4 linked regions of the Arabidopsis thaliana genome follow. The protein of the gene in region 1 interacts with the protein of each later gene in a pairwise test. Each region holds a gene or a part of one and is shown in the gene's direction. Other genes may lie near its edges. The genes, in order: PAP2, AT3G24490, CRF3 and CIB1.

Region 1 (8,299 bases):
ATATTCATCATGTGGAAATTGAGCATTCTTTTTCTTCATAAATCTTGATAGTGGAGCGCAATATGCATATATATTAAGCACATACGTAAACCCATATCATTGAGTATGACTTAGAAACGTCGACTCTGATGGACAAAGTCAATCTCCCAATATCAAGCACTTTCTATAATGTAGCCCATACCATATGTATCTTAAAGAAAATCAAATGAATCCCATGATTACAATCTTTGAAATACCTTAAGAAAAAAAGTTAATCTTATTATATAAAGTACAATTTTGAAAGTTACTAACTCACGAGATCATGACACGTGGTTATTTGAACGATTTTAGATTTTGACATGTGTTTGATTTTTTTTTTTACTTTTTCCTAAAAGAAAATAGAAAACTAAAAAACAAAGATATTTATATATACTAATTAATATGTTTATATCTAAATATTTAACTTACAATTTTCTTATCTAAAATATAAAACTAACAAGAAGATGGAGTGTATATAATTAAATTATATAAAAAACTAACAATAAGATGGAGTGTATATCATTAAATTATATATTTTATTATGGTAAAATAGGTATTTAAATTGTATTGCAAAATCGAATTTGTAAGATTGAAATTTGGTTTAAAGAAATACTAAATTACATACTGAAAAAGTATGAGAGTTACGTTACTATTTAAAATTCAAATATCATTAATAAGATGGAGTGTATAGGGACTGCATAATCCGAGTTACTCATGTGTATAGTAAAACTAATCGCATAGTGAATGGATTAGCAAACTATGCGTTTTAATTACTGCTCGGTTTATATTTATTTGATGTTTGTCCAACAGTTGTAAGTCCGACATTGTCAGAGGATATAAACGGGATGTCGTTTCCACAGAGTGTTTGAATGTAGTTTTTATGTTATAAATAACAAAATAGTTTATTATGATGAAATAGATAGTTAAAATATAAGTAAAATTGAATGTGTATGATTAAAATTTTATGTAATATAAAAATTACTATATTAAATATTAGAAAAAGTGTGTAGATTACTATTTACTATATAAAGTTTAAATATTATTGATAAATATTTAAATAAATTTATATCATACATCCGCCTATTTAGGCGGCCTTATCTAGTATATATATATGAGGGCGTGTGTAGAGATTATACTCAGCCACCAAACGATCCAATATTATATATATGTGTGTGTGTTCTATATGTAGACAGCGCCGAAATTAATAACCGCATAAGAAAAACAAAACCGGCAGTTACCATTATGCGGTTTAATTTGATGACAGGTTAAAAAATTATATCGATCTAATTTGATGACAGGTTAAAAAATTATATCGATCTAATCATTTATAGCCATCGGATTGATTCGATATGGTAGGTTATGAGTTATAATGGAGCATGAGGTTCTTGTATGGATGTTAAATCAAGGAGGGTAAGTGGCTTCTTTGTCTAAAGATTCACACTGTCTCTTTGTTCTTTTTTTTTCTTCTTTTTTCGATTACGACACAAACCGATCTTTCACTAACGCTGTAAGTACGGTCGTCCACTGATTTAACATTTTAGGTTTAGTGTAATTCCATTCGATCCTCAACTAACTACATAGTTTTCAATTATAGTCATAATTATTATGCTTGATGAAAAGCAGAAAAAAATGAAAAAACATTAAGTATAACATCAGTACTAAAAATAAATAAAATTATAGTATGTATTTGTCGCTCACACAAGTCTATAAACAAACATTCAAAACCAACATTTTAAGTTACTTAAGCTGTCTCTCGCTAGTATAATTAAACCCTAGAGTTACTTATGATGTCTCTTGTTAATACAGTAAACCCAACGTGGCCATATATAATAATAACAATAATTAAAACCGCCACATGTGATGCAACATCCATATAGATAAGTAAATACTTTGGGTAACTCCAACTAATCTTTAGATTTTATAGCCTTCATATGATTTCTATAGTGATAGACACATTTTTACTAAAGATTCGTATCCTTAGATAGCTTTGTAAGTAACTAATGGCACGATTAGATGGTGAGTTAAGGTGGAATATAAGTTGAGATGTCCCAAAAACGACAAAAACCTTGCCCAAAAAAAGAGAGAGACAAAGGAAAAGTTAAAGAAAGGCACCTTATGATTAAGACACTCGAACTTACACTAAAACACAAATCTAAAAAGCTTTAGATAAGATCCAAAGATGGATCCACCTTAGAGGCAGGCTTTAACCAAATTACTATGCATATGATATTTTATAATACTGCAACTTACAGGTCTTTTTTGTATGTCTTCTTGCTATGTATATACTTATCGTTGTTACAAATGAATGACTTAATCAATACAGCCAAACAATATATAAATCACTGGTAGAATATAAATGACAATATTTCATATACTTCTTCTCATGTTATATTGTTATAGCATCAGATATATTGGTTTAATAAATATGGGTTAAAATATGAGTTGAAACGTTTAAATGTAGATTGAGTCATCCACTTAAAAAATATACTTGGAGATAGATTAGATGGGCATAAATACTATCAAAGTTAAATCTGATTTGATCATTTAAACTTTTATTAATTTAAGACTATGATCCAAGTATCAAAGTTTTACTAATAGGTCAAATTGTAATGTACTGTAGCATATATGCTCGATTTTGGGAAAACATTGTCTGATAAAAATGAAAAGTGGAGTGTGGAGACCACAATTCTTTTTGGGAACACTGCTCAATATTGCTACTGCGGCTAAGTGGCAAAGAGCTACCCCTACTGTTTCTTTCCTCTTTTCATGCTTCTGGTGGACCCAAAAAATGAGAGCCTATGGGCCCAAAACTTTTTCGAGATTCTCTTCTCTGTTCTCACCCCCAAGCCTAAATATCATCTTCCATCGCAATTATTGGCGACTTACTAATAATCTCCATTCGTTAGCTAAACTACTAGTGAATTTATACAAGTTTGTGAAGTTTAAACTCCAATACGTTTGATTTATTATAGAATATGTTATGCTATCATGCACATGATTAAATGGTTCACCGTTATTAGATTATCATTATCATCACTCAATTTCATGAGTAAAGATTGGTTTCACGAGCTAACTTATGAGTTATATCAAATCGTCTAGTGAATCTAAAACATATAATGTTAAGCCAAACTAAACAGAATTAGTGACTCATTACAACATCTCTATACATATATCAAAAAGGAATTGCATACAAAAGCGTATTTTAGATACTAAATCGTTTTGCATGATAGCATAACATGCACACCTTCATGAGATAGCAAATTGTTTTTTTCAAATACAAAAGTAAAAAGTAAAACAAAACGTGGAATACGAGAGTCGAGACAAGGGCATAATAGGAAAGGTTTCAGGACGCTTTCTGTGACCTGTCGGGGAGTAGATGTCTACACAAAACGTAACGTGTATATACAATACATTCATGTGTACCATTTTCTTAAATCAACATTTTGTGTTTAAACCCGCCAAAAGAGGAAAGTACTTACTTCTAATTACGGTTTATATGAATATAAAATTACGTATACTACTTCCGTCCACTTTTGGAAAATAATACGATTCCAAGAAAAAAGAAGATTAAAGGTAAAAAAATAAAAAAAAATAAAGCTCTCTCACACACCTTTTTATCATTTCTCATTTTCACTCACAATTTGATCTCATCTTTAAATTTTTTTGTTTCCCATTTCTCTCAGAAAGTGTTCTGTTCTTTTTTTCTTTTGTAATCACTAAATGCTTCAAAAGTTTGTCCACAATTATATTTGAAAAAAATGTCTGTATCTGTAGCAGCAGAGCATGATTACATAGGTTTGTCAGAGTTTCCAACCATGGAAGCAACAACAATGTCTGACAAAACCAAAACCAGAGACAATAACAACGGTCTCAATTTCAAGGCTACCGAGTTAAGACTCGGTTTACCCGGTTCTGAGTCGCCGGAGCGAGTCGACTCAAGATTCTTGGCTCTCAACAAGAGTAGCTGTCCCGTGTCAGGTGCCAAAAGGGTGTTCTCCGACGCTATTAACGACTCTAACAAATGGGTCTTCTCTCCTGGATCCACTACTGCTACTGGTGATGTCGGCTCGGGTTCTGGTCCCCGTACCTCCGTCGTTAAAGATGGAAAGTCGACAACTTTCACTAAACCGGCTGTTCCGGTTAAGGAGAAGAAGAGCTCTGCTACAGCTCCAGCTTCAAAGTAAGCTTTTTTTGCTCTGTTTTAGATTTTTCTCAGCTTTTTTGCTCTGTTTTATGATTTCTGTGAAGAGGGATTCTTGATGTTTTTTTTTTTTGATTGAGCAGAGCACAAGTGGTGGGATGGCCACCAATAAGATCATTCAGGAAGAACTCAATGGCTTCTTCTCAATCTCAGAAACCTGGTAATAACTCAGAGACTGAAGAAGCAGAAGCTAAGTCTGGACCAGAACAACCTTGCTTGTATGTCAAAGTGAGTATGGAAGGTGCTCCTTACTTGAGGAAAATCGATCTCAAGACTTACAAAAGCTACCTTGAGCTCTCTTCTGCTCTTGAGAAGATGTTCAGTTGCTTCACCATTGGTAACGTTTTCTAGTCTCTCCTTCTTTGAGATCAATACCAGTGATTGAGTTAACTGTTTTCTTTTGGTTCCTTTTTTCAGGTCAGTTTGGTTCTCATGGAGGGTGTGGCAGAGATGGGTTAAACGAGAGTCGCTTGACTGATCTCTTGCGTGGTTCTGAGTATGTTGTAACCTATGAAGATAAAGACAGTGACTGGATGCTGGTCGGAGATGTCCCTTGGGAGTAAGTCTTTGATTTTTAAAAGATCAATCTCAACAATGTAAATTAACATCAAGTATTAGATCATATCTAATGATCTTAGCACAGTTTTAGCTTAACAGAAGAATATAGATCAGTGAAGCTCTCTTACTGTTTTTTCCTCTGCAGAATGTTTATATGCTCCTGCAAGAAGCTGAGAATCATGAAGAGCTCTGAGGCTATCGGCTTAGGTTAGTATTTCTTTACTAAACCCTAGTTTAATGTTCCACACCCATGTGCTCGATTTTAAGATGTATTAGAAAGGTGGTCCATTTTGAACTAAGACACCCTTCTAATACTTTCATGGTTCTTAAGCTTCTCGCTGGATTCTATAAACATTCTGAAGCTAAAGAAATATATTACTGGAGAAACTAAAACGATGCAATTTAGTCCTTTCCAAGCCTCTTAAACACTAGGAACTTACTGCACACTACTGTACAAATGAAGAATACACAATGATTCATACACAAATCTTGCTTTTTCTTTTTTTGCAGCTCCAAGGGTGATGGAGAAGTGCAGAAGCAGGAACTAGGAAAAGCCCTTTTATGTGATAATATATGATTTGAAAAAATATGTTTTTAAGAAATTGAATAGCCATTTTGTTTTGAAGTATTCTTGTGTGTTTGTGTGCTAGGAGTGATGTTTGATCTTTCTTAAACCAGCCTCTACTAAGCTCTAATAAGGCCTCTTCCTCTTACTTCTTTCTCTAATCAATCTAATGAAACATATGGGTTTGTGTATGTGTGTTTGCCAAGGAAGACTTCATAATTCATATGTATAAAAGTTTTGGTAGTGTGTAAACCGGATGTGGTTTTCATTGTTATATATGTTTTGGATGCAAACTTTACTATAGAAAATAGTTTTTCTAGTTCATGAGTTTCCATGAAATGAAGTTATAATGATCCTTTGATAGAGCTTATATCATTCAAACAAAAGACTTCAAAAACAAGGGTTTATTACTAGACATGTACAACGGGTTTACAAGACGCACAACACTTACTAGCGTTTTCACATCTTCATACTAAACATATATATCTATACTACTAAAGAACCTAATCCTCAGATTCCTTTCTTTATGACTTCTATGTACAAAACGAAAGTGAAGACACCCACAAAGGCTTACCGGGATGACAGAGTACCTCCGATATACTTCCTTATGTCTCAGTTTTTCTGAAAACTCCAGCTTCTCTTGCTGAGGTTGCTCACTATCCAGCCAAAGTCGAGTAGATTTTGCCCGTATTGTATCTTCACAAGGTAACTTCTGTAGGGTATTAGTATGCTCTTGAGACCTGAAAGCATTCGAGATAGATGGTTTCAAGATACATCAGTACATCACCAAATGGAAACGGCCATTATCAAATATTACTACCTGAATAATAAGGTAAATTATGAAATAATCCCACATTGATATAAAAGCATAAGGAGATTGTAGTTACCTGTAATGCACATTGTTTTGTAAAAGTGAGCAACTTGAGCATCTCCCCTAGTAACTACACGCTTGTTTGATTCCAAACACTCAAGAAACGCCATGTCAGCTTTAAGCAACTCTGCCTGGTCATGAGTATCATAACCAATATCATGGCAATAACAGCAATGATCTAACCAATCAATAGGTCTCTGATCCCAAACCATCGAACCTCCATCTTTCCCACTAGACCAGTTAGGTCCACAATAATGTCCATATCTCGGGAAAAGCTGTGACAGAAACGCCCTCGTCCCTGTATGCCACGGAACCTTAGACACATAAGGTCTAAACCGATAAACAGTATTCACACCATTTGATCTTGATGACCTCCGAGAAAGAGCATGCCTTTTTAACCCTCTGTTGATAGTAGTGGGTTTCTGCTTACCATCAGAGGCATTTGCAGACCAAGGAAGAACTGAACTGAAGGAGGACCAAGTCCATATCTTTATATCAAATAAGCCTTTCTCTTTCTCTGGCTGTTTGAGAAGAAAGGTTGTTGCTTTCTCTTGCTCTGGCTGTTCCAATAGAGAAGTTGTTGTTGGTGTCACGGAATCAATCATAGCTACATCTTTCTTTGTGCTGATGCTACCAAACCAAGATATACTTGGCAACCCAAAATTCATCTGTAAACAACAAAACAGTGCATGCAATGACTTCAGCAATCAAGTGTGATCCAGACAAAAAGGGAAGATTTTTATCTTTTCAAATTGGGAAAATTTCGAAATTGCGAAAGATCAATACTCAAAACCCTAGAATTGACTAGTAAAGAAGAGTAAATCGGATCTCGAAAATAACAGAGAAGGATAATTCGAATGAGCTTTTGCATTGAGAGATTGGAATGTTCACGAACCTGAGCTTGAGAGACGCTACGAGAAGAGACAGACACACGTTTTCGTTTTTTTTTTCCTTAGCAAATGACAACCTCGGAATATCGTTCGTTACTTTATGTCTTTATCTATCCCTAAATTTTATTGGGCTCAAAATGGGCCGACCGACCTTTTTTAGCCCACAAATTATAAAAGGAAAAAAACATTATTGTAGTGTATGTAGTAATTCGGTCGGTTTGATTTTTATATTTAGATATAATATCCAAAAGGAAACAAAAAATTATTTTATTTAGTTTCACTTCTTCAGGGAAATTCATTTGAAACTTCTATTTAAAATAAGGTTTAAAATTTCATTATAACCAATCTTTCTCCGAATTTAGTGTATAATGTCACATTGTCACTAAATGCACATTTATATAATGCAAATCTCATATTTTCATGAACAAAAAATTACAGGTTTTGATTAAAAACTAATCAAAATGTGAATACTGAAGATTTTGTCTACAAAACAAAAAGGAAGACTTTTACTTTAAACTCCATGACACAAAACAGAGCTCCCTTATTTGAAAACTTTACTTCGTCTGTCTCATCAGTTATCTTCTCCAAGAGTAAACTTCACAAACCTTCTGACTTTGATGTTTTCCCCAAGAGTAGCCACTGTTTGCTTCACCAGATCCTTCACCAGAACACTGTCGTCTTTGATGTAAGGCTGCTCAAGCAATGCCCATTCTCCAAGCCTCTTTGAGATTCTTCCTTCCACAATCTTCTCCCTTATGTTCTCTGGTTTCGACAAAAGATCCTCTCTTTGCATCTCAATCTCTTTTTCTTTCTGCTTTATCTCCTCTGGAATGTCCTCTATTGAAACATATTGCACCTGCACGTAGACATTTCAGGTCAGAGACCAACAACCAATTTATGCCATTGTTTCAGCTGAGGACATTTTCTTACCTGTGGATTAGCCACTGCTTGCATTGCAAGATCATCAACCAATTCCTTGAATTTTTCGCTTCTTCCGACAAAGTCAGTCTCACAGTTCACTTCTATCAGAACTCCAATCCGAGAATCGTGGATGTACGAACCGATTCTCCCTTCTGATGCAAGCCGGCTTGATTTTTTATCAGCTGATGAGAGACCCTTCTTTCTGAGGAATTCTTGTGCTTTCTCAAGATCTCCTCCTGTCGCCGCCAATGCCTTCTTGCAATCCATCATTCCAG
Region 2 (7,988 bases), on another chromosome or scaffold:
ATGGTTATTTGTTATTTAGAATACATAAATATATTATAAGGTTGTTGTGGTGTCTAGTCACTTAGATTTAGGTTAATAATAACTATGATATTATTGGTAGCTAGTGGATAATTTGTTTAAATCATTTTCATAAAATTCCCTGCATTTGGCATTACAAAAACCTAAAACATTATAAAAAAAAATTGGCATATCATTGATGGCTACGGTATACCTAAGTGCCGAGAATCCATGCACATTGCTAGATTAATTGTTTGTGCGAACGAAATGTTGTATGTAATATATGTTTAAAAAAATTAATACGATAAGAGAGTCTAGTTAAGAAAAAAAAATTCTTATGAGATGCAAAATGCTATTGTAACGTTTTACTTCGACTGAATTCAGATACATGTTACGAATTTGCGGGACGGATATATTAGCTACTTGTCGATCTTTTGCAAGAATCACATGGTTCATAAATTTGATGCGCCGCTAAAGCTCGATCCTAGACTATGCTATCAAAATAAACATATTCGACTGATTACGGTGATGATTGTTCATGTACTGTTTTGGGAATATATGTGTGATGTCTCTGATTATCTACCAGCTTTTCATTAGGTGGTGAGATGCGCAAGCTCGCAATCTTTCGAAACATATTGATGCCAACGATCTTTAGTAAACATTTTGTGAGTTCAACATCCACGTATAATAACCTGAATGATTAATGCCTATTAGCCTAGTTTTACCCTAATAATAATATCTACTTTCTAATGTATATTACTAAACATTTATCAAATTCTATAGCACTAGCATTATCATTTCACGGGCAGAAACTTTGGCAAGGAGCAGCACTAAACAATTAAGTCAGCAGATTTATGATTTCATAAAAGATATGTAGAAGTATAACACTGTTTTAAAAACCCAAAACACTATTATAAAACCCATACATTTTCGAATCTTTTATTCATTCTACAAACCCATACACTATTATAAAGCATGGATACAAATAATTTGATAACCGACTCCATTAAGGTTTATAATAAATTATAAGAATTTCGCGACACCTAACAGCCTAACTACCAGGTTTTATAAAAATCATTAGAAGGAGGACCAAACGAATCGCTTTAGTAATCAAAAGATTAGTTGTCTAATTAAGTTTGCTTTTGGAGCTTTTTCTTAGTTATTGCCGCAATGAAGCACACCGTGTGGGGACGTTTTGACACATCAGGTAATGTTCTCATAGACCAGCGGGATGTTCGAGGCTTTTAGGTCGCCGACATGTGTCGATTTTTGGATAGTCGAATTTAATAGTATATTACTTTAACGAAACAAATATGTAGAAAAATAACCATATGCTTTTTACTTTTGCATAATCACTTCTGTTCAAATTTACTTGGTATCCATGGTACATCATCATGTAAAACATTCGTTATGAAGTTTTTAAATAAAGTTATGTTAATGATTCGTGCCAAAAGGAGCACATTTCGCCAATAGCCAAAAAGAATTGTAAGAACCGAATTACAATAGAGTATTTGAATTTGTATTTTTAAGAAGTCATATGTTTTTTATGTTGAAAAACAATGTGAAGGAATTGAAGTCATCTAGAGTGAGTCGAGACGTATATTAAACATTCAAACTAGTTTAAGAAGTATGTATAACTCGTCCTATACACACAAGTTTTGTATCCTGACACTTTTTCTTGTGGGCCAAAAGGTCCCATAAATAATGCAAACTTCACTAATTCACGAGATCGTGTCTCCATATGAAGGAATTATACAAGTATTCAGATCTTGTTACAGTGTAAAATATTGAAAAAGGTGAAAGTGTTGCACTAAAAATCAGCCGTTGATGATTGATGAAGGAGCTTAGTATGGAGGATCTAGAGTGAACCATGCAAACATATACATATTTTTGATTATTTTATTAGATTTGTACGTATTGTATATAAATTTGGAAATTATGCATAATATGCATAGTATTCTTTTCCGTGGAGAAACATATAGATTTCTCACCTGAGCTTATATGAAAGTAACCACTATTTTTCTCATCACAAATCTCGCAACACTTCTTAATATGCTAGTAAAACTATAATGATCTAACGATTGGTACTGTTTTATTCTTTTTAAATTTTAAACCAACTGCTATTTTTAATACTCAAACATTCACTTTCTTAAAAACCAAGTGCTTCTAATTACTCTTAAAACCTAAATTATACATTTGAATCTAGGTTATCACTTCTCTTGTTAAATCAACAATGCTATGCGGTTAAATTTTGTCATGAATTTTTGATTTAAATAATAGAACGAGGTGATCAACATTTTCATCTGTTACCGGCTTCGTCTATATGAGGAGGCCAAGTGAAAGAAGTTATAATAACTAGGTAGGTCGCATGGTAAGTTTCCCATGAAGTCTTCAACGTCTTTTGTCCACTTGATTGTGCGCTAAATACTGTGTGAACATTCATTCATTATCTTAAGAACCCAAATGCTTTTAATTACTATTTAAACATAATTTGTACATTTGAATATAGGTTATCGAGTTTCTCTTGTTGAGCCAACAATGCAACATCTTTATTTCTGCCATTTTCAATTTAAAGAAAATGAATAAAATAAAATTAAGTATTTTGTTATTATATGCTTAGTCTTGTTAATGTAATTATAAGGAAGATAATGTTCCTTAATAGACTAGATGTGATTCATGAGAACCATGCACAAGAATTCAAAAACCCTAGAAGATTCGATGGTAAATGACGGATCAATTAGCAAAATATTCATGTACATTTACTATAACGCTATTGTATCTCTAGGATTATCGGGTTCTTGTAATGGATGATACACCACAAACCTTTTCTATATTTGTAATGCATTATGATTGACAAAAAAATAGTGTTCCTTGATTTTTTTTCTTTTTTTTGTGTGTGCATCAAGTGTTACTTGTTAATTCATTATTCATTTCATTATGTTTCTCATACACTCTAGCCATCTCTGTTTTTTTCACCAACTAATCATACAATTTTATAAATTTGGCGATTTTTTTAAAAAATAAAGACTCTATAGTCTATTTTTGATAATTGTATGTAACATTATGTACTATGAAAATATCATGCAATTGTGAAGATGACAAGGTTGTCATATCTTCTTATGAGGTAAGAAATTATTTCTTAGAGTATATGATCATTTGCTATTAGTTGTATTTTCTATCCTTCTATAGATATGTGAACTTCATTCTCTAGTTGAGTATGTATCAGAGTTACTTTTACCTTCCAGTACTAATGAATCTGGAAGCTCACACAGAATAAAAGTTCTTGCGTAGAGAAATACAAAATCTTAGTGCTTAGATGAACATTTGACCAGTGAGGTGAAGCAGACCACTATGGTTGAGATCATCTACTAGCAACCAGACCATCCAAAATCTCTTTTCTTCTAACCAAGAGACCAAGTCAGTGTCCCATCAAATTTGTTTTTTAATTTTTATTTTGGTTAAATATCAAATCCTTTATAACCAATTTCTCTTTTCTTCTCCATCCAATAAGTCTTTTCTATTTGGAATCTCATGTAAATCAAAGTGCTTTACAACTTTTTGGCAAACATTTTATCTTTAACACTAGACCAAAAACTTCCTCATTAATTAACTAAACTATATATATTATTGGCAATAGAGCATCCTGCTTTCGTAGGAATCCCCTTACCAAAAAAATCACCGAAGATACTTTTGGACTATATATTTGTCAAATCAATAAATAAAAATAAATAAAAGATTAAGAAATAAATGCTCAAAGCCTCAAAGTAAAGACAAAAGACAAAAAATTGGTGAAAGCAACATAGTTGGCATTGGAGTGAGCGAACGTAACCACTCATAACGCGTTTGAAAGAGATTGTTGTCAAAGACTTGAGAAACTTCGTAACGGTTTTATGATCACTCATTGACTCTCTCTCTCCGTTACACTTATGTTCTCGACGCGACCTTCCAACCATAAAATACTAATTTCATTTTTATTTTCACTTCATCGATATCTTGTGACATGTAATATGATTGGCTTATCAAAAATCTTTCATACGAATTTTCAAGTTTGTTCACATCTCTCTCCCAAGATATCCGTTTAGGAGCCTAGGACCGTTACTTCACTTTATTATTTTCATGTGGAGGAACTGTAATATATATCACAATTTTGTTGTTCTTGTTGATTGTGTAAATAGTAGTACTGGATACTAAAGAACAATGAGTATGTATCTCAAATATTTAGCTCAACCGTTTTATAAAAATACTATATTATTACCTTAAAATTGTTTGTTGCTTTATCAGTATTAGGTAATTATGAGATGTCACTGTTTAATCTATTTAAACGTTTTATGAGTTACATTAATGAAAAAAATCTGAAAAGTTAAAATTATACGAATACATACCTGTCTGACTCTACCTACTGAATTTTGTAAAACAATTTGTTATATTTTATAAGAAAGTTGATGTTGTAGTGTTTACTGTCTCATAAAAAACAATCTCTATTTATTTGATTTGAGACTTGAAATTTTTAAAGCTTGTTTTAAACTATACTGTTTTTCTTATAAAAAAATTGTATTAATTTTTTTTATAAATGAAACTGTTAAAAAAAATTGAAAATTTAGAGATCAAAACTAAACCTTTATAATCATTGAAATATATTGGTACATCTACCCACAAAACAGGTCAATCGTCTAGGTTTAATTATAATTAAGCCTAACATGTTAATGAGATTCAAACGAAATTAAAGTCCACAATGCCAACTCAACTCAAGTATCAAATCTTTTTCTTCTTTTTTTACTTAGCAGGAATACCAAACTCAAGTATCAAATCTTTTAAAATTTATTTTTTACTTATGTCAATGTGGGAATGACCGAGTTACTTAAGAGTTATGATTAATATTAATTCTTGTTTCTAACCAATTCATATATCATTGTCTTGGAAGCTTCTTCATATCAATGACTCAACTCTTAATTTTTTTCGAAAATCTGTTCTTACAAGGTCACACAATTCAATTTTTTTTTTGTATTGTAAATGTTTATCTCGTTATATTTACACTAACGAGATTTAAACACCTAAAATCAAATTGTACGAGACTAGTGTTAGTTATTCAATAGTATGATGCATTGATGCAACAAAATTCGTTGCGATTATTTATGATCCTTATCACTACCATGATCATTTCCATTAAGGTTATACTTACTTCCTTTTTGATGCATAATAATTACTCACCAACATTGAAGCGTGGTCGACATTTTCATTGGCAATAAGCATAACATTCATTTATTTATATTAAAACACAGAAACAAACAATTATTAAATAAAGAGTTCTGGCATTTCTCTATTTTAGTCCACTTAATTTAATACTATCATCTTCAAACAAGATTTCATCATTAATAATTTAAAAAATTATACGTTACATAGTGTATTAAATGAATTATCGTTGGGATACACTTTCACATTTTTCAAAAACGTATGAATCATAATGTGACACATGGAGATTTCCCACAACCGAGGCTCCCATAGTAGATGCTTATGCAATTCATATTCTTGCAGCTTAAACTCTTGCAAGTTCAGTAATAACACCGTGATATGAAAAATAAAACTTAGCCCTTTTTAATTTTTGAACTTATTCAGATTAATTAAAAGCATACGTAGCATATTTAAGAATATAAAGCAGAGAATCAAAATAACATATTGTTTCAATGGCACCCATTTTAGCTAGTCGATCAGTAACTGCATTCGCAGATCTTCGAACCCACCAAAAATCGACAGCTTCAAATCCTTTGAGCCAATATGACGCTAAAGGTCAAAATATTATGACCCTAAATGTCAGAAATTGACCCCATAAGTCATAAGTTAACCGACACCAAAGCTGATATTCGTTAGAGTTTAGACTCTCCTTTTCTTAATGATCGTTAGTTTTAGTTGGGAACTCTTGGGCTATCGGTTAAAATTAAATAATTGTGGTCCTCTTGGCCCATTAGTGCTGTCCAAACTGGCCCAATATGACCCAGTGGATGGTCCCAACAAACGCCGCGACAAAACTCCGTCGCTGGCTGAGGCAATGTTCACCGGTGGTGGTAGCTTTTCTTCTACTCCGACCCGGCTGAAAATGCAAATCCCTAACCCTAGACACGGCCATGGTTTATAAACCTCATCAATTTCTTCTACTTATCTCTTCTCAAAGCTAAACCCTCCAAGATATTCCTCTATTAGGTGCAAAAATCAGGTAAATCTCTATCTGTCCGATTTGAAACCCTAGATCTGCCTTTCTTCTCTCTTCTTTTGCTTTTCTGGGTTTTGCTCAAAGATGGGTGACAGCGAAGATGAAACAGGATACCCAAAAAAGTTTTACTCTTTGAATCGGCAAAACCATCCAATGTATAGTAGACCAATACCTAAGCGTCACGCGTATTACAATGAAGAAGAAGACGAAGATGAAGTCGAAGGAGAAGAGGAAGATCCACAAGGAGGATACATTCGTGGAAATGAGAGGTTTCAGAAGAGACAGAAACCAAACAAAGTAGTTTCTGGGTTTGAATTTGCTGGTCCTAGTGATGCTAAAGTTGCGTATGATTGGAGAGAGCAAGAAGCTTTTGTGTTGCTTGAAGTTTGGGGAGATAGGTTTTTGCAATTGGGTAGAAGGAGTTTGAGGAACGAGGATTGGAATGAAGTAGCTGAGAAAGTGAGTGAGGAGCTAAGGATGGAGAAATCTGAGACGCAATGTAGGAGAATGATTGATGACTTGAAGAGGAAGTATAGAAAAGAGAAGATTAAGGTTGAGAAATCAGGTTTAGGTTCAAGTAAATGGTCGTTTTTCAATAAGTTGGATATGTTGCTTTGTGTTTCGCCCAAGTCGGATTTAGGTTTAGCTTGTGGTGTTGATTCAGGTGAGTTTGTGTTTATGAACACTAAGGTTTATTTAGATAAGTCTAATGGGTTTGATGAGATGATGGATAGTCCTGGTGATTCTGAAGAGGAGGAGGATGAGGATGATGAGGTTGAGTACGAGAGGAAGAAGGTTAATGACGCTGCTTCGTATAAGATGTTGGCGGATTCTGTTGAGAGGTTTGGGAAGGTTTATGAGAAGATGGAGAAGAGTAAGAAAGAGCAAATGAAGGAGTTGGAGAAGATGAGAGCTGATTTTCAGAGAGATTTGGAGTTGCAGAAGAAGCAGATTGTTGATAGAGCTCAGAGTGAGATTGCTAGGTTACGTGAAGAGGAGGAGAATCATCATGGTGGTGGTGATGATGATGAGAGTGAAGATGAAGAAATGGAGAATGATTCTGATGTTAATCTCAGTGATGAGTAAGTTATAAACTATGTAGGTTTGTGTTGTTTGTAGATGCAACAAAATATGTTCTGTTTTTTTTTTTGGTTTTAGGGAATTCAGAACTTAAGTCTTATAAGTTTTGTAATTTGTGTTTGGTCTTTGCAACTTTAGTCGAGGTTATTTGCAGTTTATCTTGAAACTTAAATTAATGCATAAACATATTTCCTTCTTAATATACTGTTTGTGAGTATTTCTCTTGACCAATCTCATGAACATACATATATTATATACCATAGCTAAACCGACAGATACATATATAATCTTGTTATAATCGAGGAAACAATTTTTTGATATATAAGCATTTTTTAAGAGGAATAAACATCAGAGAAGCAAAAGACTTAACGAGCTTCAGATAGTGTTATGTCATAGCCATTTATTTGGGAACACAGTAAGAGGATTTGATCTCATGCCATAAGCAAAACAAAGTGTCGTAGTCATCTTCGCCAATGGGGGCATTGTTGTGGGCGACTCGAGAAATACCCACCAATGACTTGAGCCAGTCTTCATGCAGACTTGAGAACTCAGATCTTAGCTCACTTGACTTGAAGTTTTCCCCAATTGATCTCTTCATGGCTTGAGCAGCACCTGATGCTGTTTCAACCACTTGGTTTGGTATTCCAGCCATGAGTGCCACTTGAAGTCCGTAGCTCTCAGGACAAGCTCCCTCGGTTAAACGGTA
Region 3 (7,687 bases), on another chromosome or scaffold:
ATTTAACAAAACTTTAATAATGAACATGAAAGAATTAAACAAATAGAAAGATTGCAAAAATCTGAACATTATAACTTTCAATTTTGGCTCGCCAGAACAATATGGCTTAAATAGAAGAAAACATAACGATTAAAAATAATAAAGTTAAAAGGAAAAATTTGGAAAAAAGGAGAAAAAGAGAAGGGGACGTGTGAGGATGCGTTACACCTATGTATCTATTTTATGTGGTCAAAGCTATCTTACTCTTTAGATTTTGGGTCCCACGTGCATGCTTCATATTTTGCCTACGTCCCTTCTTTTAATTTTCTTTACCTAATGTTGTCCTACAAAGTTTTAGTCTGTTTAATTCTCGTTTTTACGTTTAGGGAAAAGGAATTACTATCATGATCAAAATTATAGAGCTTTTTCGGTTTTACCATTAAAAATAAAACAACTATCTGAACTAGTTCTACAACTAATGTTATTGACTTAAACATGTCCAAAAAAAAATTATGTGAACTAGGCAAAAATATACTTCAGAATATTTAACGAGTACAGATGTTATATATTTCTTCCGTATTATTATAAATGATGTTTTTTTTTTTTTTTTTTTTTGCTCTGTTCTGAATGATGTACTGTATTAGCTAAATTTCTAATGTGTTTACTAATTAGTCTTATATAGTCATTTAAAATGTATATGATATACCACATGTATATAACAAGTACATTTTGGAAGATAAGATGGACATTTTAGAAATTTTGATTGCCACATCGATCATATTCCTTCAAAATGTTTGATACCATATGGAATTCCCTCCTTTAAAGACTTGAAAACTATCTCACTTCTTTTTCCTAATAATCACTGTTATATATGCACCATTTATCAATTAGTCCCAAGTAAAGATGTTTGAGATCTTGCACAATGTTGGTATAGAGTTTACTAGAAGTTTAGAATCATGAAAAGTTTCTTAATCGATACTAAACACATCATCAAACATATTTTTACTGTCTCTAATTCATAGACGTTTTTCATCGAAATTGAATCGTAAGATTGATGATGACACAGTGGCAACACCATTATTAGATTAATAGTTTTTGTGGTAGACTATTCATTCAATAATTCATTAGTTGATATAAATTTTCTTAATGGTTCCAATTTGTGATAAATTAGCAAAATGTTCTGAATTCTACTTTGTCACTAAAATTCGTATCAGAAAAACCGGTTTGACCGTCCGTTGTTCAGGAACTTAGGATTGACTTCTAGTAGTCTCTGTTTGCTTTCGGCTAGTTTCGAGCTTGGTGGACTTTCATCTTCAAATCTATCACTTTCTCTAATTCTTAGGTCTTAATCATAGAATAACTGAATTTTCCCCAAATAAAGGAGCAAGAAAAATGCAATTTCAATGCATGTAGAGTTTTCTTTTCATCAAAAATAAAATAAGGGAGTTTAAATCCGTACCATCTATATCACATAAAACTCATAGCGACTTTTAACAACTCAAGATATATTTTTTCTTAAAAAAAAGCAAGCAAGTTAGTAATTAATAGAATAAATTTGGTAAAGCCTACTCAACTTTCGAAACCATAATATGAAAATCTTTAAATTTATTTTTGGATTTTAAACGGCTTTCAACAAATTGATCAAGATGAGTTCAAAGACAGTTTATCAAAACAGATTAGCTGCAAGAGATAGTCTTTTGCAGAATGCTTCATAAAGTTTGTAACGGATTAGCAGCAAGAGATAGTCTTTTGCAGATTGCTTCATAAAGTTTGTAACAGGTTGGTATGAAGATGTTATTATGTTCTAAATCATGCATCTATGTTAATTTAGACCAGTTTTGTTTTTGGCTTAACTGTCTTTAACTCTTTAATATATGTACATGCATAGAGTTTGTGTTTTGTGTTTAAGTTATATGTATGTAAACTAGCTTTTAATTTGACACATTTTCTCTATCAAATGTACATGGTTTATGTTTATTGAGCAACAAAAAGTCTTTTACATCTTCAAGTTATTTAAATGTTCCTATTTAATATATCAGAAATGTAACATCACATATTTCCGAGAAAAAAACGATTCTAAATTACACTATTTATGAACTAGAGAGAGTAAAATTTAAAATTAAAATGGCTACTTAATTAAAATACAATCATAATTTTTTTTATTTAAAAAGCAAGTATATCATATCTTGGTTTACAATAACATAATTTCAAATCTCATTGCCATCCAAACAGAAAAATAATTTTTTTACTAGTCCAAAAAATTAGGAACAGATGTAGTAAGCTTTGATATCCCTAAACCCAAGTAAAAACCCCAACAAAAAGATATTAGTAGAAGATTGTTTTTACAACAAATCAAAAATATAGTTTTCAAAAAAAAAAAAAAAAAAAGATACTTGAGAAGCGCGTGGAAAGTACGAATAGCAAGCAGTGGTGGAAGAGCGAGTGAGGGAACAAAGAGTACAGAAAAAAGCCTAGAGACGTACCACACCACCGAATTATAAATGGCGGCAAATCCTAGGTTGCTCGCCACGTTACTTCTAGCTGTAAAATGGTAACATTTCAATTTAACTACCATATTTATATTGATTCAAAGATATTTTCGTCCTAAAATCATTTTAATATCTAAAATTAAATACATAACTTCCTCAGTCACATATTCATCTTCCCTAAATTAACATTATTCGATTATCTAACATGGAAAAATGTATATTGTATAATACAACGTATTCAACTTTGACAAAATCGCATTTATTTTATTTCCCTAACAGTTAAAAAATCGCATTTATTTTATTACCCTCAACATTCGTACGTGACAAGTTGAAAAATTGCATTCAAATAGACGAAGTTACCCTCAACAATCATCATTAATTACTTAATGTCGGTCAAAGCTAGTGGAGTGATAAAAAATTTGTTGAGAAGTAGTAAGTAAATTTGTTTTTATTATTAGTATCAAATAAACTAAAAAGGTAAAAAAAAATTTAAAAAAACCGGGACCGGGTATCTTGGGGGTCACGTGACATGAATCGCGAAATTCGAGACTAGAAGCCACGCGCTGACTCAGCACATACAGGAAGGAGCCAAATATCTAATATCGCCACGTGTCACCATGCGACTTGCGCTCATGAATGCGGCGTCCCGTATTTTTAAACAACTCTCTTATACCCGAAACTACCCTTGGAGTTTTGTAGTTAATTACGGAAAAATGCCACTGATGGAGGAGCGGAAAGAAACAGCTTCGACAAGGAAAGAAATCAAATGATATTAAATATTATATATTATATAGTTTTCGAATTTATTGTTTACTTTTGTAAAAATGAATAAAATAATTATGGCTAAAACCCCGAAGAGATCCTATAAATTAGCATTTCAAGAGTGAGCTAGAGAAGGTCTCCACTTGCGAATCGCTAAAAAAAATCACTGTTTCATAACACGTTTTTCTCTCTCACCCACCAAAAAAAAATCTTTTGTTCTTGTTACCAAAAAATCTCGTGATAAATCTCTTCAAACTTTGTTTTATTTTCTTCTTGATTCTCTCGAAATCTCTCTCAACAAACCCAGAAACTTTCCTTGATTCGCAAGCTTTTCTTCCTTTTATATTCTTCATTTTGATGCGAATATAGAGAGAGTCCATAAAAGAAACAGTAATGGACGAATATATTGATTTCCGACCATTGAAGTACACAGAGCACAAGACTTCAATGACTAAATACACCAAAAAGTCATCGGAAAAACTTTCCGGTGGTAAGTCATTGAAAAAGGTTAGTATTTGTTATACTGATCCTGACGCAACAGATTCATCAAGTGACGAAGACGAAGAAGATTTCTTGTTTCCTCGCCGGAGAGTCAAAAGATTCGTTAACGAGATCACTGTTGAGCCTAGCTGTAACAACGTCGTCACCGGAGTTTCGATGAAAGATAGAAAGAGACTCTCTTCTTCCTCCGATGAAACTCAATCTCCGGCGTCGAGTCGTCAACGTCCTAATAACAAAGTTTCAGTCTCCGGTCAGATAAAGAAGTTCCGTGGTGTTAGACAACGGCCATGGGGGAAATGGGCGGCGGAGATTAGAGATCCGGAGCAACGTCGGAGGATTTGGCTCGGGACTTTTGAGACGGCGGAGGAAGCTGCCGTGGTTTATGATAACGCCGCTATAAGACTCCGTGGACCGGACGCTTTAACTAATTTCTCCATACCGCCTCAAGAAGAGGAAGAAGAAGAAGAACCGGAACCGGTTATTGAGGAGAAACCGGTTATTATGACGACGCCAACACCAACAACATCGAGTTCTGAATCAACTGAAGAAGATTTACAACATCTCTCATCTCCTACTTCGGTTCTCAATCACCGGTCAGAAGAGATTCAACAAGTACAACAACCGTTTAAATCAGCTAAACCCGAACCGGGGGTTTCAAATGCACCATGGTGGCATACCGGGTTTAATACCGGTTTAGGTGAATCAGACGATTCATTTCCTTTGGATACTCCGTTTCTTGACAACTATTTCAATGAATCACCACCAGAGATGTCAATATTTGACCAACCAATGGATCAAATTTTCTGTGAAAATGATGATATCTTCAATGATATGTTGTTCTTGGGTGGTGAAACTATGAACATTGAAGATGAGTTAACAAGTTCTAGTATCAAAGATATGGGTTCAACGTTTAGTGATTTTGATGATTCATTGATATCAGATCTATTAGTTGCTTAATATGATGATGAGAGTGAAGAAGAAACCATCAAGCAAATATCTATGGTGTGACTGAAAAATTTTGGTGTTACTTTTTTTTCTTTCATAAGTTCATGAGCTTTTTTGTTTCTTTTTTAATAATTTATTTAGTTTTGTCAGGAGCTTGTAAAACAGTTTTGGAGAAATAGTGGAAAAATAGTTTAATTATTCTGTATTCTTTATTTATTTAAGTAATTGCGTTATTAGTTGCACGAACGTGTTTAATTTTCAAAGCATTTGGCATTTATTTATTTTTTGTTAATTAATTATTTAATTTTAGAAAAGCCAAAGTGGCATTCTCTTTGTAAAGTCATACTATGAGGCGCAAATTACGGTCGTGGCCAGTGAACTGAGAGGTTTTGGCCTTTGGGTTTGGTCTGGTTGAGAAGAGGTGTTTTGTCTTGTAATAGTCATGTTAATCTTAAATTTTGTCAGTAATATAAACTTCAAAATAAAATGTAAATTAATTAATTGTACAGAACACAAAATTATATCATTTATTATTCCGAAAATTACTATCAAATCCTAAATTCGAACATTATCAGAAATTCATGTTTATGATGGAAATGTTTTGGAAAGAGTTCCAAACACATCACAAACTTTTTGTAACCATTTTCGAATATCATTCAAGAACTCTTTCTAAAGACAAGTGTGTGGCAATGTTCTAGAATTCGAACATGTTGGTGGTAGGTGTTTTTTTTAGATGGATTTTTGGGATCCATATGACATTTTATTCATGATGGTCGTTTTTGTAAGTGAAACTTGAGTGTGTTAGATCTTAATAAACTAAATAAGAACATTCTGACCACTGGGAAGAAAATTAAACTTTGTTTTCAGGTTTTCAAAGGCTAATGCATTTTGTCATTCGTGAGACACACACCTCGTTCGGTGAAAAATATATATAGTTTCGCAAGTTTTTTTGTCTAATTTAATTGTTGATCGTTAGGGATGCGATAAATATATATTGCTTTCGGAAAATTTACTTTGACTAAAATTAGTTTTACCTAACAACTGATGGATAAATTTAAAATGAAAACCTTAACACAAAAGTAAAAGAATAATGAAAAATAAACCTTGGCAGGGAGGAATAATAATGAAACCTTTGCAGATTTGTTTTCGTTTCTTTAAACTTTTGCTAAGCTTTTATTAAAAGCTCTTGTAATTGTTTTTGTATCGAATGTAACTATATAGATTTCATTTGAATCCAAGTCACCGACTCATCGCCTTGTTTTACTAAACGTCTTTCAACTAAGGGAAATATGATCTATAACTTATTTTCTTCTTTAAAAGCTTTCTTTAAAAAAAAATATTCTCTGTTATACAAAGATTGCATGATAGCTTTTGCTATCGTTCGATTGTGATTCTATATCACTGAAATTAATTAAATTAATTAATCTAAAATTCAATATGTTTCCATATTTATGGTAAATTGATTCACAGGGTAGTATCTTACCTAGTTGTAAGTTCGTTGTGAGAAGGTCCTTAAAAGGAAGAAGTGGACGTACATACAAAAAAACACAGATATCAATCATTAAATTGTCCTATTGGTAATTTGAGAGAAAACTATTCTTGGTAAGAGATGTTATTGGTGTGCAGAGTACGGATCAAATACGATTAGGATTTAAGAAATTTATAAAGTAAATATATAAAGATGGTTCGTTCTCCAACTCAAATCAAAATTGTCCAGGTGAGAAAATCTCTCTCAAAATTAAATCTATATTCTTCATCAATCTGCATTTTTCCAACAATATAAATTGTAAACCATTGAAGCATCACGAATAACATCAAATCCGTCTTACATAAACACATTTATTATTTGAGTTTTTTTTTTTTTTTTTTCATTTAAACTTTAAGACTGTAGTCGAAGACTATTTTGTAATCTGTTGGTAGACCAGAATGATGTTAGGCTCATAGACTAGCTATATCTAACAGCATTTCTAAAATTAGTTGCAACCAACATAGCATTATGTCTTACTGTAGAAAAACACAAAGAATATACTGTATCAATTATCAACGTAACTGATATTTGTAACTCTCTTTTGTCTCACGTCCATCTTCCAATCTCTTTTGGTCTGAACTATCTTCGACTAAGATTTTGGACGTCGCTTTTTTCTTCATACGAGTTGTGTTATTGCCTTTTTGCCGGTTGGTATATTTCTTAATACTAATAATTAATAACTAATGGAAAGTATAGAATTCATTTGAAAATTCGGTCAATGTCGGAGAAAAGTAGGTGACAAATGACATAATTCAAACAAATAATTTACGTGGAAATAAGTTAAGCACACACATAGACCTTAAATTCCATATCACATTTAATACGATCGACATTTGTATTTTATTTTTCTCATACAAGATACGTATAGTCCTATATATAATCTAATACTGATAAATGTGGCCTTCGCTTTTGTGACGTGAAAGGACATTGTCCCAAGAGGGTTTCAATAAGGTTACCACTTGGTCTGTTATGGCCGAGACAGAGACATACGTACGCCTCATTTGGTTTCCAATAATAGTTATCATATTGTTCTTTTATTTGATGACATAAACATATAGAAGTATATCTTTGCTGCGTTTATTTTATTCAAAAACATAATTACACTATTTTTTAGTTTTATTTTATATCTCTTTAGGACAAATATATTCGAGTTCACCGCTCCATCCGTAAAGCTTTTATTTCGAATGATCACACCATCATTACTCACATGAAATGTATATTATATAGATTTACATAATCTGCCGTTGATTATAAAATCTATTGTCCCTTTTTTCTGTTCTGTTGGTCGTGTGTTAGATTAGATAGATAACACATTATTAACATGGTGATCGTAAATCTCGATATTAAATAGTTTGTATTTTGGCCATAAAATTAAGTTAGCAAGAAGAATTTATAACTTTTATTAAAATACATTCCATTTTATTCTTAAGTCATCAACTAATTAGTGATTACCATGATACTTGGGTAAGAATTAGTTCAAGTA
Region 4 (8,050 bases), 2.2 Mb from region 1:
CGATCTCCACAACTTCCTTTCCTATCTCCAACACAACCTTATAACAGTAACTTTACTCTTTGCTTTCACTGTTTTCGGTTTGGTTCTCTACATCGTAACCCGACCCAATCCGGTTTATCTCGTTGACTACTCGTGTTACCTTCCACCACCGCATCTCAAAGTTAGTGTCTCTAAAGTCATGGATATTTTCTACCAAATAAGAAAAGCTGATACTTCTTCACGGAACGTGGCATGTGATGATCCGTCCTCGCTCGATTTCCTGAGGAAGATTCAAGAGCGTTCAGGTCTAGGTGATGAGACGTACAGTCCTGAGGGACTCATTCACGTACCACCGCGGAAGACTTTTGCAGCGTCACGTGAAGAGACAGAGAAGGTTATCATCGGTGCGCTCGAAAATCTATTCGAGAACACCAAAGTTAACCCTAGAGAGATTGGTATACTTGTGGTGAACTCAAGCATGTTTAATCCAACTCCTTCGCTATCCGCTATGGTCGTTAATACTTTCAAGCTCCGAAGCAACATCAAAAGCTTTAATCTAGGAGGAATGGGTTGTAGTGCTGGTGTTATTGCCATTGATTTGGCTAAAGACTTGTTGCATGTTCATAAAAACACTTATGCTCTTGTGGTGAGCACTGAGAACATCACACAAGGCATTTATGCTGGAGAAAATAGATCAATGATGGTTAGCAATTGCTTGTTTCGTGTTGGTGGGGCCGCGATTTTGCTCTCTAACAAGTCGGGAGACCGGAGACGGTCCAAGTACAAGCTAGTTCACACGGTCCGAACGCATACTGGAGCTGATGACAAGTCTTTTCGATGTGTGCAACAAGAAGACGATGAGAGCGGCAAAATCGGAGTTTGTCTGTCAAAGGACATAACCAATGTTGCGGGGACAACACTTACGAAAAATATAGCAACATTGGGTCCGTTGATTCTTCCTTTAAGCGAAAAGTTTCTTTTTTTCGCTACCTTCGTCGCCAAGAAACTTCTAAAGGATAAAATCAAGCATTACTATGTTCCGGATTTCAAGCTTGCTGTTGACCATTTCTGTATTCATGCCGGAGGCAGAGCCGTGATCGATGAGCTAGAGAAGAACTTAGGACTATCGCCGATCGATGTGGAGGCATCTAGATCAACGTTACATAGATTTGGGAATACTTCATCTAGCTCAATTTGGTATGAATTAGCATACATAGAGGCAAAGGGAAGAATGAAGAAAGGGAATAAAGCTTGGCAGATTGCTTTAGGATCAGGGTTTAAGTGTAATAGTGCGGTTTGGGTGGCTCTACGCAATGTCAAGGCATCGGCAAATAGTCCTTGGCAACATTGCATCGATAGATATCCGGTTAAAATTGATTCTGATTTGTCAAAGTCAAAGACTCATGTCCAAAACGGTCGGTCCTAATTTGATGTATCTGAGTGCCAACGTTTACTTTGTCTTTCCTTTCTTTTATTGGTTATGATTAGATGTTTACTATGTTCTCTCTTTTTCGTTATAAATAAAGAAGTTCAATTCTTCTATAGTTTCAAACGCGATTTTAAGCGTTTCTATTTAGGTTTACATGATTTCTTTTACAAAATCATCTTTAAAATACAGTATATTTTTAGTTTTCATAAAATATTTAAAGAAATGAAAGTTTATAAACATTCACTCCTATTCTCTAATTAAGGATTTGTAAAACAAAAATTTTGTAAGCATATCGATTTATGCGTTTTGTCTTAATTAGCTCACTAAATAATAAATAATAGCTTATGTTGTGGGACTGTTTAATTACCTAACTTAGAACTAAAATCAACTCTTTGTGATTGTTTGTTCATCCAGCTGACCAGCTCTGTCTGCCGTCTAGGTTATGTGAAGAAAGTTATATTCCTGGTTGTTTAGATTTAAATATAAAAATGGATACTTTAGTTTATGTATGATTTTGAATTGTTTAGATTTGAAAGTAGGGAAGCCCATAAAATTCAATTGATAGTTGAATAATTAAAAATGATAAGTGTCAGAGAGTTGGAGCAGTCCCCGATGAGCCTACATCAGCCAAAAAAAGACACTCATATTTTCATTCTTTTTTTTGGCTAAAACTCACCTTATATATCTGTTTATTTCAAAAGATGCGTTTTTCTTACTTTTTACAACATGAAATCTTTTATTTTAAGGAAATTATAGTAACTAACCGTAGAATACAAAAGAATGAAAAAACTAACTATGGAGCAACGGGTCAGAGACAATTTTTATACATTTTTCATTTATATAACAATAACTCATTTATCATTAAATCATTTTTATAACAATAACTAGTAACCATAAAAAATATAAATACTTCTTGGATGTTAAGAAAAAAAAACAATTCTTCTTTTGACGAAAAAGACTTCTTAGGAAAGTTGTATACCTTTAAAATACATGCAAGTTATATGAAAGTTTATAAAATTCACAACTCTTCTTTATTTTAAAACCCAAAAAAAAAAAAAAAAAAAAAGTCCTCTTATTTATACGTCTAATTCCCATGCATATATCGAGAATAACCCATCATATAGGAATTAGGCTCCCATCATGTGATCATGATTCATGAGTCATGACCATTGGATCTCCCCTCATTATTGTTCCATCAGAAATTTCTACGTCGATGATATGTTTCTAATTCTAATTTTTTTTACAGCAATTTCTAATTCTAATTAAGAACTCTCCCATATACAAATTGATATAGATATCTTTTAGTAAGTTAGTAACAACACTTAATTAAACATAGATAAATATACGTGCACAGATCAATTCTCCAGTTTAAGGAAAGAAATTGGATAGATGTATTTAAATACTTTTGTATAAATAATATAACTATCTCCAATACAACACACCGAATCAAATGTCAACATCTACATACATGTCGACATGAATTTATGAACATATATGTACAAGGTGATGGGGAACCCACAAATTAGGTGTGTGGCTTTACTTTTTTTAGTGTATGCATGTATAGTATGATAGGGAGGGAAATAGCTGATCATCATCTTCTATGGACTTAGTCCAAATTCATCACATCAAAAGGCAACGACCATGTCTTTGTTTCTAACAACTTTACACCCTCCCCTTTCCTTATCTACTAACTCCATGTATCTGCTTTAAAGGTTAATATATAACTGGACTAAGCAAAATAAAAGAGAGTTGGGTTTTCATTATAGAATCGAGAAGATTTCATGTCCCTATATCAATCACATAAAGCGTTTTCCAATAACATAAAAAGTCGGATAAATGAAAATATTTGAGAATCTAAAACAATGTCATATATACTTTAATGGAAGGTCCTTTTCTTCGAAATATTTGCTCACCGAAATCGGTGAAAGTGATCTAAGACTAAAACTAACTTGTGAGTAATTCATGTGATGGGCCTTCTGCATCGAAAAAGAGCATGGCGATCACGTGGCAGCCTCTCTTGCGCCGTCTCAGTATTAGCCTATCACGATAGAGTAAGCCAATGTATACAGCATGGCGATCAGACACATGATGATGATCGATCTGAATAACAAGATTCCGAAGGATGTAATAAATTCATGTGAACAGTGCTTCGTAGCTAAACTAAGACCAGAGCTATTGAAATGAGGTAAAGTGTTTTCTTTGTAACCCCATTTTAATTAGGTGAAATATCTAGCGCACACACCAATCTGATTCATATAATCATAACTAGCTTGTAAACTACAAAATTATTTTTCATTGTGTTACAACTAGACCATTCCCACGTGACCATTCACGTGCTCCTATAATGAAAGAAACCTAAAGAAGAGACGCTCCAATTCGCATAGACATCCCAAGCTTATCCTTTCTTAGTGAATCAAGATCCAATTTACACTATAATACATGCATATATTACGTAATAAATGTTTTATAAGTTTTCTGTGTCACTCACTATTTTTAGTTATTTTCTCAATTTTCAATCATCGCAAATATCAATTATCACAAAACATATAAAGTTTCCAGATTTGTATATGGGCCTACCTTATTAGATGCGATGAATATGGACTAAGTACAGAGCTGATGGTTTTTGTTATAAATATCGTTTCCTCTTCTACCCTCACCTTTACTCTGTTTCTTTCTCCACTCTCTCTCTCTCTCGTTGCAAGCAACTTGTTTTCTGAATCCAAAGAAGACGATAACGATGAATGGAGCTATAGGAGGTGACCTTTTGCTCAATTTTCCTGACATGTCGGTCCTAGAGCGCCAAAGGGCTCACCTCAAGTACCTCAATCCCACCTTTGATTCTCCTCTCGCCGGCTTCTTTGCCGATTCTTCAATGATTACCGGCGGCGAGATGGACAGCTATCTTTCGACTGCCGGTTTGAATCTTCCGATGATGTACGGTGAGACGACGGTGGAAGGTGATTCAAGACTCTCAATTTCGCCGGAAACGACGCTTGGGACTGGAAATTTCAAGAAACGGAAGTTTGATACAGAGACTAAGGTTCGTGTGTAAAGAAAACTTAAGTTTAAGTTCTATAAATGAAAAAGAAAACAGATCTTACTTTGAGATTTGGCTTATCTGTTTCTTCTGTGTGTGCTTTTAGGATTGTAATGAGAAGAAGAAGAAGATGACGATGAACAGAGATGACCTAGTAGAAGAAGGAGAAGAAGAGAAGTCGAAAATAACAGAGCAAAACAATGGGAGCACAAAAAGCATCAAGAAGATGAAACACAAAGCCAAGAAAGAAGAGAACAATTTCTCTAATGATTCATCTAAAGTGACGAAGGAATTGGAGAAAACGGATTATATTCATGTTCGTGCACGACGAGGCCAAGCCACTGATAGTCACAGCATAGCAGAACGAGTAAGAGAGCCTCATTAACTAAAATTCATTAACTTTGTTTTTTGTGTAATCATTGAGACTAATTATTAAAGTATTAAATTTGTGAAGGTTAGAAGAGAAAAGATCAGTGAGAGAATGAAGTTTCTACAAGATTTGGTTCCTGGATGCGACAAGATCACAGGCAAAGCAGGGATGCTTGATGAAATCATTAACTATGTTCAGTCTCTTCAGAGACAAATCGAGGTCTGAAAATTATTTCCATTTATAGAAAATATGTTTTAAAGACTAATTTTGCATTACCTTCCTAATTTGTTATCAAAATATTGTTTAAAACAGTTCTTATCGATGAAACTAGCAATTGTGAATCCAAGGCCGGATTTTGATATGGATGACATTTTTGCCAAAGAGGTTAGTCATTGATTTGTTTATGCTTATATGAAAAACAAAACTTTAAAGGCTATTTATAGATGAGCTAAAATACGCCATGTGGATTCAAAACCAGGTTGCCTCAACTCCAATGACTGTGGTGCCATCTCCTGAAATGGTTCTTTCCGGTTATTCTCATGAGATGGTTCACTCTGGTTATTCTAGTGAGATGGTTAACTCCGGTTACCTTCATGTCAATCCAATGCAGCAAGTGAATACCAGTTCTGATCCATTGTCATGCTTCAACGTAAGTCATATTTTTAATACTCTTTCATTATGATCTATCCTTTAGTTTAACTTTGGATATGATAATTTTTTACTAAATATGTTTTGATTGTTACAGAATGGCGAAGCTCCTTCGATGTGGGACTCTCATGTGCAGAATCTCTATGGCAATTTAGGAGTTTGATTAAGAAACCAATCCACAACATAACAATGTTCCCTAATTCAAATTATTCATCGGAAGAGAGAGCAAACCAGTAGCTGTTATTTACTAATTCCACTAGATTATTGACTTGAGATCCCCCGCCCATTAGTTGATGTATCAAAGAGTGTAGACATTATTGTGTATAATTTGCAAACCAGTCCAGTAATATATTTCTTATCGGTGGACTTGTGTCTTTAATTCAAGGTGTGTTCTCATCTTCTTGTGGTGAATGATCATCCATTAGTATTTTTTTTTTTAGTATACAATGCCACAAGTCATGCGACCATGAAATCAAGAAACAAGACACCAGTCGTTTAACGTTATGTTTTACATCTTATCACTAACAATCTTCTAATCTATGTTTTGGTTACTTTGAAAAAGCGGGACTAATCCCAAATTTAAAGCAATTGAATAAACAACACCTGTTAAGCGTGGCGGACAAAACGACGACAATGTAAGAGAACTGAGTCAGAGATTAAAACCTATGACCAACCCATTGGAACTAAACTATCCTAATTCTCTATACGGAGAGTATATATAAATGGAGGAGGAGAAGAAGAAGAGCAGAGTTTTGATCATCGGAGCAACAGGAAGATTAGGGAACTATTTGACCCGTTTCAGCATCGAATCGGGTCACCCGACTTTCGCTCTCATCAGAAACACCACTCTCTCCGATAAGCTGAAATCTCTCTCCGACGCCGGCGTTACCCTCCTCAAAGTCTCTCTCTTTGCAATATCTCTGTAATTTCCTCATTAGGGTTCTTCTGTAGATTCTTATTGGGGGACTTCTCTTTGAAAAAGTCTTGGCTTTTTTTGCTTGTTTTCATTTGGATTTGGTTTTTGATGGGTTCTAGGGTTCATTGGAGGATGAAGGAAGCTTAGCAGAAGCAGTGAGTAAAGTAGATGTGGTGATCTCTGCAATTCCATCAAAACATGTTCTTGATCAGAAACTCCTCGTCAGAGTTATCAAACAAGCTGGTTCCATCAAGGTCTCTTCTTATATCTTAATCATGGATTTTTTTTTGTTACACCAATTCGATCATGTCTTAAGTATAGATCACATTGTAGTATTGTTTAATATTGTTCTTGAATTTACTTTTGGCTGATGATGAGATTGAGAGGATAGATATCTAACTAGAGCAGAACATGGATTAATTACTGTTGCAGAGGTTTATTCCTGCTGAATATGGAGCAAATCCTGATAAAACTCAAGTCTCGGATCTTGATCATGACTTCTATTCGAAGAAATCAGAGATTAGGCATATGATAGAATCAGAGGGGATTCCATATACATACATTTGCTGCGGACTGTTCATGAGAGTTCTACTTCCATCGCTTGTGCAACCGGGGCTTCAATCTCCTCCAACAGATAAAGTCACAGTTTTTGGAGATGGAAACGTTAAAGGTTTGTCCTTATTGCTCAATTCTATAGCTACAAGTTTTTGCAAATATACAATCTTGTGGTCTGAAATTTGAGTGTTTCTTTTTTCTGTGTTGTTTTGTGTATAGCTGTTTTCGTGAATGATGTCGATGTTGCAGCATTTACTATCAAGACGATAGATGATCCTCGAACACTGAATAAGACCTTGTACCTTAGCCCGCCCGGAAACATATGTTCCATGAATGATCTTGTCGAGCTCTGGGAGGGCAAGATTGAGAAGAAGCTTGAGAAAACGTTTGCTACAGAGAATCAACTTCTCAAGAAGATCAAAGGTTCATCATCATAACATCATCAGCACATCTACTAACATATTTGCAAAACTGTTTTTTTAAACTTGAGCTTTGTGTTTCTATGATGCAGAAACTCCATATCCGGATAACATGGAGATGGTATTCATATACTCTGTCTTTATCAAAGGAGATCACACATACTTCGACATCGAGTCTTGTGGTGGAGTGAATGGTACTGAGCTTTACCCTGATGTCAAATACATGACCGTGAGCGAGTTTCTTGATACTCTTCTCTAGAATTATAAACCAAACAGCAAAGGGATCACTCTCATTTTTCAGAGTTTACCTTTTACACTTCCAAAATTTCTCTGTTTTTGAGGGCTGAATCAATCTATCTCATGTAGCACTATCTTTACCCTATTGATCTGAGTTTCGACCTTAATCGTGTAACACATTACTTCTGCAGTTCTGATGATGGTAAACCTCAACTGTTTACATGGTAACAAGATCATAGGTATTAGGTTCATGCCTTGATGTCTTGAAATATAGTAATTCACCACAAGAAAATCACACACTAAAGATCACAACAAGAATAAAATTGTTTTTAAGGATTTAAGAATTTGATTTACGAGAGGTTATTGAGAATAAACTTCCAATAGAGTTGGAGTCAAATCCAACTAGTTGGAACTTAATTAGAAGCAAGCTTAATCATTTACTTGAACAACAGAAGAACAA

What was found.
Region 2: the proteins of PAP2 (region 1) and AT3G24490 interact in a two-hybrid assay, tested with the Arabidopsis thaliana proteins (one large-scale study listed by BioGRID).
Region 3: the proteins of PAP2 (region 1) and CRF3 interact in a two-hybrid assay, tested with the Arabidopsis thaliana proteins (one large-scale study listed by BioGRID).
Region 4: the proteins of PAP2 (region 1) and CIB1 interact in a two-hybrid assay, tested with the Arabidopsis thaliana proteins (one large-scale study listed by BioGRID).

Annotation. Positions count from the first base shown.
Region 1 is NC_003075.7:14,320,691-14,328,989, reverse strand, and holds PAP2 (phytochrome-associated protein 2), read left to right. Parts: upstream 1-3,628; 5' UTR 3,629-3,776; coding exon 3,777-4,198; intron 4,199-4,302; coding exon 4,303-4,556; intron 4,557-4,636; coding exon 4,637-4,778; intron 4,779-4,922; coding exon 4,923-4,984; intron 4,985-5,287; coding exon 5,288-5,325; 3' UTR 5,326-5,694; downstream 5,695-8,299. Other genes in the region: AT4G29070 (Phospholipase A2 family protein), read right to left, coding at 5,955-6,082, 6,230-6,881; emb2726 (elongation factor Ts family protein), read right to left, coding at 7,675-7,959, 8,034-8,299. UniProt on the Arabidopsis thaliana protein: Aux/IAA proteins are short-lived transcriptional factors that function as repressors of early auxin response genes at low auxin concentrations.
Region 2 is NC_003074.8:8,904,736-8,912,723, forward strand, and holds AT3G24490 (Alcohol dehydrogenase transcription factor Myb/SANT-like family protein), read left to right. Parts: upstream 1-5,686; 5' UTR 5,687-6,286; coding exon 6,287-7,288; 3' UTR 7,289-7,488; downstream 7,489-7,988. Other genes in the region: MSH7 (MUTS homolog 7), read right to left, coding at 7,683-7,988.
Region 3 is NC_003076.8:21,614,962-21,622,648, reverse strand, and holds CRF3 (cytokinin response factor 3), read left to right. Parts: upstream 1-3,367; 5' UTR 3,368-3,623; coding exon 3,624-4,688; 3' UTR 4,689-4,935; downstream 4,936-7,687.
Region 4 is NC_003075.7:16,494,321-16,502,370, forward strand, and holds CIB1 (cryptochrome-interacting basic-helix-loop-helix 1), read left to right. Parts: upstream 1-4,070; 5' UTR 4,071-4,145; coding exon 4,146-4,448; intron 4,449-4,551; coding exon 4,552-4,812; intron 4,813-4,899; coding exon 4,900-5,034; intron 5,035-5,127; coding exon 5,128-5,199; intron 5,200-5,293; coding exon 5,294-5,464; intron 5,465-5,560; coding exon 5,561-5,626; 3' UTR 5,627-5,854; downstream 5,855-8,050. Other genes in the region: KCS18 (3-ketoacyl-CoA synthase 18), read left to right, coding at 1-1,405; AT4G34540 (NmrA-like negative transcriptional regulator family protein), read left to right, coding at 6,186-6,362, 6,499-6,633, 6,812-7,049, 7,154-7,357, 7,446-7,612. UniProt on the Arabidopsis thaliana protein: Transcription factor that binds DNA to G box 5'-CACGTG-3' and, to a lower extent, to E-box 5'-CANNTG-3' in vitro. Binds to chromatin DNA of the FT gene and promotes its expression, and thus triggers flowering in response to blue light.